Linked DNA regions of Arabidopsis thaliana. The protein of the gene in region 1 interacts with the protein of each later gene in a biochemical or structural test. Each region holds a gene or a part of one and is shown in the gene's direction. Other genes may lie near its edges.

Region 1 (3,925 bases):
CTTTTAGCCGCCGCGTTTGATTTGCTTAGCACAGTCACATCATTCAAAACAATAGGAAGCACATCTAGCAACACTTTCCGGCTAGCAGTCTGCCAACATGAGTAGACATATTAGATCCAGATGCAAATTGGAACAGGTTAAGTAATAGAAACCAGTAATATTTCTACAAGATACAAAACAGATAAGTCAAATTGATTATGTACTTTACAGACATCTATATATGTTTGACGTGTTAAGTATGGACCAAAGTTAAAACAAAGAGAATTCCAGGTTACAAACAGAATAAACCTTAAAAATGGCAGATAGAGCTTCCATTACACCAAGCAAGCGAAAGTGGTTCGTGACACTATCTTCCTTACAAGACAAAACTTCATATGTCCACTCAAAAAAGCTGAAACGGAAATGCCACAATAGAATAAAGAAAATTAGTTAATCCATTCACGGTGAGTAAATTGTACATGTTACAATTGAAAACAGCAGTTTAGAAACAATCTTAAGTGTTCAAAGTGAAACAACACTGAAGCACTGATGGTGGTAGGAACAGACCTCGAAAAAGCTTTTCCCATATCCGGACGAGTTAAAAGCTTAGAGAGTAGCAACCCCGATATCCTGCGCATTGGTCCAGCACTGCACAGATAGTCCTTACAGAAACCTAATATCTTCAATACCAAAGGAGCAAGGTCATCCACACCAAAGGTCTTGTCATCAGCAATGCTTGTATCAACAGAAGAAATATCAAACGGAACCAACACAAGGATTGAAAGCCACAAAAGAGTAACACATTTGGCCTCCATTTCTCCAGTGCTTTCTTGCCTCAAGGCAGAAACAGAATTTGTACTATGGCACTTCTCGAGGAGCAAAACGGCGAGTTCCAGATCGGATACTTGATGCGGAAAGAACTTGATAACAGCTTTGTACCCACATACAGTAACTAAAGCATAGATAATGATGCTTATTGGCTTAATAATCTCAAGAATTTCATCAGGTTTGGCCTCTAAATCAACTGTTTTGGAGCGGATGATAAACATTAATGGAGAAACTATACTCTCTAAGTAAGGTTCCACTAATTGACCTTGCTCCTGGTATTTATCCATCTACAATACAACAAAACAAAGTCGGAGAAAGTAAATCAACATGATACTGAAACATGGGTTGGATCAAGTAGATGAAGTCAAAAGACTAAGAAGCGTACAATGGATCGGATCTTATGAACAGAAGTAGGATCAACAACACGGCCATTTGAAACAATATCATCGAGAAGAGATTTAACGAGCTTCCATTCTTGTAAAAAATACCTCTGTAGAACTCTCTCCTTAGAATCATGCTCATCGTCTTCTTCCTCTTCAATTTTTACCGCCGTTTCGATTTCGATCTTCGTCGGCGACATTTCCTCTGCTCTAGATGCCATTACTGGAAAGAGAAAGGGGTTCAATAAATTCCCGCCCGCCGATAATACTCTCAGTGTAGAACCACCGGCAAATCACGAGATCGGTGACGTCGACGATGAGTTTACATGTTAAGGCCCATAGTAATTTATTGGGCCTATATACCCATGTTCCTATTTTGGGCCTATAACCTTCCTCAATGTAGCTTCGTTGGTCTAGATTTTCCATCTTTGGGTGCTTTTATAAACCGGCTTAACCAGAGTTGGTAGGCTTGATACTTGAATCTCTTTCTGGTTTTGTATATTCAAGAATAAGCAAACATTTCCTTAAAAATAACTTTTTTTTTGTCGTACCTCATTTTAAAAAAGATATTTTATCCTATTTCATTATGGCGGAATATCCAAAGAACAAAAAATGGTAGTAATAAAAATAGCGAAAGGCATAGAGGATCACTAAACTCTTAGCCTTAATCAGCGGTCAAGATTATACCTTTTAGTGAGATCCAACGGTCATATTTGATCCAAGTTGTCCCTTAGTGAAAACGAAGAGATGGCGAAATTTTGTTTGATTGGCTAAAAATCAACACACTGATAAAATAAGAGTTGCAGAGAGAGTCTCTCATCTTCTTCATTTCTTCACCACCATCATCACACACCTTCTTCTTCTTCTTCTTCTCTCTCTATCACAAGAGAGTCAAATCCATGGCTTCTACTTCTTCCCTCGCTCTCTCTCAAGCTCTCCTAGCTCGTGCAATCTCTCACCATGGTTCTGACCAACGTGGATCTTTACCAGCTTTCTCTGGACTCAAATCCACCGGTTCACGCGCCTCAGCTTCGTCTCGTCGACGTATCGCTCAATCCATGACCAAAAACCGATCTCTCCGTCCTCTTGTTCGCGCTGCAGCTGTTGAGACTGTTGAGCCAACCACTGATTCGTCGATTGTGGACAAATCGGTCAACTCGATTAGGTTTTTGGCTATCGATGCGGTGGAGAAGGCCAAATCAGGTCATCCTGGTCTTCCTATGGGTTGTGCTCCGATGGCTCACATTTTGTATGATGAGGTCATGAGGTATAACCCCAAGAACCCTTATTGGTTCAACCGTGACCGATTCGTTCTATCTGCTGGACATGGATGTATGTTGCTCTACGCGTTGCTTCATCTTGCCGGCTACGACAGCGTCCAGGTCTGTGATCTCTTCTCTGTTTAATTGCTTTCGATCTGATCGTAATTGATGAATGTAGTAACTTTAGTGGATAGATTGAATCTGTTTTGATATTCATCTGATGGCTGCTTGAAGTAGATTCACTGAAAAGGTGTTTGGATTTGTTTATTAGGAGGAAGATTTGAAGCAGTTCCGTCAATGGGGAAGCAAGACACCAGGACATCCTGAGAATTTCGAGACTCCTGGAATTGAAGTCACTACTGGTTTGAGATTTTGCTTCTTTTGGCTTATGGTTCATGTGAAATTTCACAGAAACTATCTATAACTGTATTTACAATTGTGCTCTCTGCTTTGGCTGCTATGCAGGTCCTCTTGGACAAGGAATCGCTAATGCTGTTGGTTTAGCTCTTGCTGAGAAGCATTTGGCTGCTAGATTCAACAAACCTGATGCTGAAGTAGTCGACCACTACACGTAATATATATAACCCATAGTTATGTTGTCGTTCTTGGTTTGTATATAGCTCTGATAATAGAAATACTGTTTTTGATTGATTGTCTAGATATGCGATCCTTGGAGATGGTTGTCAGATGGAGGGTATTTCTAATGAAGCTTGCTCTCTAGCTGGCCATTGGGGACTTGGAAAGCTCATTGCTTTCTACGATGACAATCACATTTCTATAGATGGAGACACAGAAATTGCCTTCACTGAGAACGTGGACCAGCGATTTGAAGCCCTTGGATGGCATGTTATCTGGGTGAAGAATGGAAACACTGGGTATGACGAGATCCGTGCTGCCATTAAGGAAGCTAAAACTGTTACTGACAAGCCTACTTTGATCAAGGTAACTACACAATTTCTTAACCATCAAACATCGGTTGGTCTAAAGACCTTTGATATTGATTTACCATATTGCGTAATCCAGGTCACTACTACCATTGGTTATGGGTCTCCCAACAAGGCGAACTCATACAGTGTCCATGGAGCTGCACTTGGCGAGAAGGAAGTTGAGGCTACCAGAAATAACCTTGGATGGCCGTATGAGCCGTTCCAGGTACCTGACGATGTAAAAAGGTTAGTAAATCCAAAGCAGGCTTATGTTTGGTTTTATTGCTTTGAAGTTGCCTTGATGACTTACTGTTTGACTTGCACTTCTCTAGCCACTGGAGTCGTCATACACCTGAAGGAGCTACTCTTGAATCTGACTGGAGTGCAAAGTTTGCAGCATATGAAAAGAAGTACCCAGAGGAAGCTTCTGAGTTGAAATCTATTATCACTGGTGAATTACCTGCTGGCTGGGAGAAGGCTCTACCTGTAAGTAGAACTCTCTTTGCATTCTGTACAATTCAATTGGTATTCTAGATATGAGTTATAGAAC
Region 2 (3,925 bases), about 19 Mb from region 1:
AAGAAAATCAGTGAATATGAGATAATCAATACCTGCCTCAAGTGAGTGCAGGTAGCTTGAACAGCAGTATCAGACCATGAAGCTCCAATGGATTTAGATACAAGCAGCCGTGCAGCTGACATAGGTAAAAGTCTCAGCGATGCAATCAGAAAACTTGCTGTAGCCGACAGAACAGAAGACCTGCACAACATGATAACGATTTCACAACATTCTAAATAAAGACTGATTGGTTCTTTCCTATCGAGGATTCGTATTGAGAACAAAAGCTCACGCTGCAAGTTTGCCAATTAATGATTGCTTTGTTGATTGTTGGTTCAAAGTCAAAAATGGATATAGGCCAATGCAATATACCACCTGCAAAGCATTCCAGAGAATAATATAAGAAAAATCACATAGCACTGAAAGAAATTGTGATGGAGAAAGTACTACTCTTAGAGGAAGCCATCTATACCTTGTCCGAGAATTTCTTCAATAACTCAAGGGATATATAAGACCCAATAGAATGCCCAACCTACCAAGATCAATTAAGCTTAGAGTTGTAAATTTTCATGAAAATCTGGAAATCCATCCAACTAATGGACATATATATTTTGGTCATAAGAAGCAATATGTCAATGGCTTATACACATGACAGTCTTACCAATATTATTGGAACTTTCACACTCTCCAACTCCTGTCTGATAAAATCAATCTGTATGATAACTAACAGATTAAGATCTTAACTTCACAGGATGAACAATACAAGAACCTAAAGGCTTTCAAATCCAAGAGCAATGAAGAAAAATGATTTTTATTACCTTATGATCAATTTGTTCTTGAAATGAAAATAGCCTCCCAGACTCCCAGTCCTAAAAGTGAAAATAATCAAGTATCATGAAAGCCTATCAAACTAAGATATTATATGAAGAGAACCATCAAAGTTTACACACAGTAAAACCTGAAACCAAAGTTAACGTACCTTGCTCGTGTGAGATATTTGCCCAATAGCTACACAAATAAAACAAACCACTCCACCATTAGAGATCAGAAGAACAAACTCAAACTCAGAAATAAACAGCTTCCATCTTAAGGACTCAAAGAAATCAAACTCGAAAAGTAGAGCAGCCATACCAATTACAGAAGCATTTCCACCAAGAAACTCGTATAAAGATTCCAAAAAGTCCTTGTAAAATGACACAACTCCTGAAAAATTACAAGCCAATGTATGAAGCACACTAGTATATACACGTGCATGCATAAGAGTCTTGAGCATAATAATGAAACCTGGATTTCCCGGAATAAACAATACATGGAATGTGGGATTCTCAGCTTGAATTTCCATCATCTCCGTCATCGAACTTTGATCACAAATACAAAAAACAAAACAAAAAGTGTAACTATAGTCAAAGAAATTAGAAAATTTCGTAAAAGATTAATGTAACAATACCCAGAAACTCTGCACAATCTGGATTTAACATGTCTTTTAGTTTCATTCATCAATTTGTTTTGAGTCTCCATGTCTCCGGTCACGCGATTCAACTTATATCTTCTCTCAGAACTGTCAACACTTGAAAGGAGAAGATCGAGAGAATTAATGAGACAACAGAGAAACCACTAAAAATCAAAACTTTGCAAAATAAGTGAAGAAGCCTTTTAAAGTAAACCAAGTGAAGAGAGCACAACAATGCACCTGAAACAACAGGAGTAGATTAGATACTTTGGAGAACTGAACCACCGATCGGAGGAAGAAAGTAACGGAGAGACGGAGTTACCCAAGGTAGAAGAAGAAGACGCATATTTGCAGCAATAGTAATACGACCTCGTTTTGAGTAACGCGACGTCGTTTTATGAGTTTGGGTGTCGTCAGGCTTATCTCCACCTCATACTTCCACTACAAAGAGAGGTGATTGACAGATAGATAAGAGTGTTTGGTAGCTCAGACTCAGAGAGTCACAAAGTGTGTGTAGCAGCAATGGCGTCTGTTGCTTCTTCAACTACTCTCATCTCTTCTCCCTCTTCTAGGGTTTTTCCAGCAAAGTCTTCACTTTCCTCTCCATCTGTTTCTTTCCTTCGAACCCTTTCTTCTCCTTCCGCATCTGCTTCTCTCCGCTCCGGATTTGCTCGACGCTCTTCCCTCAGCTCCACTTCTCGTCGGAGCTTTGCTGTCAAAGCCCAGGCCGTAAGTTTATCTAAATGTCGATACTTTTCTTATTCGATGTCATTGAAATCTGAATTCATTAGCCTGTTATAGATTTCACTCTCTTCCTACTTGTTAGCCCTATAGGTTTTGGGGAAATAGTTAACGATTTATAGGTTATGCGACCGTGTTTCTGCAGATTACTCGAAAAGTTCAGAAATTTGAGTGACATTTTCGTTTAGGGTTGTTAATTTCTCTGGTGAAGTGAAATTGAGTGACATATGAGCTATACTCATTGACTGATTAGTATGTTCGGATGAGGTCTATGTAGTTTTGGTATAGTACCATGGTTATCTGATTGTCAATTTGACTGATCTTTCTCCTTAGATTTGATGTGTTAACGAGTTTTAATTTGGTGATTATAGGATGATCTTCCACTGGTTGGAAACAAGGCGCCTGATTTTGAGGCAGAGGCTGTGTTTGATCAAGAGTTCATCAAGGTACTTACAGCAGTTATCAATCACAGTTGCTGCTTCTAGTTAATCTGAGATTAAGTTTAGTTTTGAAGCTGAATGAGTAGTCTTTAGTGTTTTTTATTTAGTGAGTATATGTCTTATTGTGATTGGAAACTAATTGGTAACTGATGAATGTATGGTTTCAGGTTAAGCTCTCTGATTACATTGGAAAGAAGTATGTGATTCTCTTTTTCTACCCATTGGACTTTACTTTCGTCTGCCCAACAGGTTAGCATTGCTCGAGAAGTATATCAAAATTGAATATCCAAGGTTCCCTCATCCTTGAGTCCTAATCTTTCTCATTTTTTCCTTATGTCTTTTAGAGATTACTGCCTTCAGTGACCGGCATTCAGAATTTGAGAAGTTGAACACCGAAGTATTAGGTGTTTCTGTCGATAGTGTGGTAAGTATCACTATACATTTACTATGTTCTCATTTTACTCAGTTCCTCATCCTTGGTTGACATCACCATGTTCTTATCTGTTTGCAAATTTTTGATTCATTCTTATTTCTGTGTGTCCTCGTAGTTCTCTCACCTTGCATGGGTCCAAACAGACAGGAAATCTGGAGGGCTTGGTGATCTGAACTATCCCCTTATTTCAGATGTCACTAAATCAATCTCAAAGTCGTTCGGAGTGCTCATCCATGATCAGGTAATTGTTAGCCTTTAAATCTTGGCTACCTTCCTTTAAACTTTCGAAGTGTTTGGGATAAATGAAAACAAGAACTTTGTTTGTGTAAGAACAGGGAATAGCACTGAGAGGACTTTTCATAATCGACAAGGAAGGAGTGATCCAACATTCCACCATCAACAATCTTGGTATTGGCCGAAGCGTTGATGAGACAATGAGAACCCTCCAGGTAAAGATACAAATAAATACACACAACTCCAAAAACCGCTCTTTCCTTTCACTCGATTTCCGGTATGCTTAATACGTTTTCAATGTTGCAGGCATTACAGTACATCCAGGAAAACCCGGATGAAGTCTGCCCAGCAGGATGGAAGCCGGGTGAGAAGTCAATGAAACCCGACCCAAAACTCAGCAAAGAGTACTTCTCAGCTATTTAGAAACTCTACTATGATAGCAAAAAGGTACAATCTTTGTTATATGTGAGCAGAGTTTTTTTTCTTGTACGCTAAAACAATCCTTTGTTTGATTCTCACTTTGTCCCCAAAATTATAATAAAAAACTTTTTCCGTTAATGGAAGTCTTATTGTGTTACGCCTACAAATTCATATTCAGTTGATCACTTACCTAAGCATGTACACTGTACATATTAATGGTAAAAATCA

What was found.
Region 2: the proteins of AT3G60750 (region 1) and AT3G11630 form a complex in vitro, tested with the Arabidopsis thaliana proteins (one large-scale study listed by BioGRID).

Annotation. Positions count from the first base shown.
Region 1 is NC_003074.8:22,451,918-22,455,842, forward strand, and holds the start of AT3G60750 (Transketolase), read left to right. Parts: upstream 1-1,750; 5' UTR 1,751-2,086; coding exon 2,087-2,569; intron 2,570-2,720; coding exon 2,721-2,811; intron 2,812-2,914; coding exon 2,915-3,020; intron 3,021-3,108; coding exon 3,109-3,391; intron 3,392-3,472; coding exon 3,473-3,621; intron 3,622-3,707; coding exon 3,708-3,861; intron 3,862-3,925. Other genes in the region: TTN1 (ARM repeat superfamily protein), read right to left, coding at 1-89, 289-391, 547-1,094, 1,193-1,408. UniProt on the Arabidopsis thaliana protein: Catalyzes the reversible transfer of a two-carbon ketol group from fructose-6-phosphate or sedoheptulose-7-phosphate to glyceraldehyde-3-phosphate to yield xylulose-5-phosphate and erythrose-4-phosphate or ribose-5-phosphate, respectively.
Region 2 is NC_003074.8:3,670,238-3,674,162, forward strand, and holds AT3G11630 (Thioredoxin superfamily protein), read left to right. Parts: upstream 1-1,798; 5' UTR 1,799-1,951; coding exon 1,952-2,158; intron 2,159-2,541; coding exon 2,542-2,616; intron 2,617-2,777; coding exon 2,778-2,859; intron 2,860-2,954; coding exon 2,955-3,034; intron 3,035-3,158; coding exon 3,159-3,284; intron 3,285-3,378; coding exon 3,379-3,492; intron 3,493-3,583; coding exon 3,584-3,700; 3' UTR 3,701-3,922; downstream 3,923-3,925. Other genes in the region: AT3G11620 (alpha/beta-Hydrolases superfamily protein), read right to left, coding at 33-180, 272-354, 452-511, 641-691, 798-848, 959-987, 1,111-1,182, 1,264-1,337 and 1 more. UniProt on the Arabidopsis thaliana protein: Thiol-specific peroxidase that catalyzes the reduction of hydrogen peroxide and organic hydroperoxides to water and alcohols, respectively. Plays a role in cell protection against oxidative stress by detoxifying peroxides.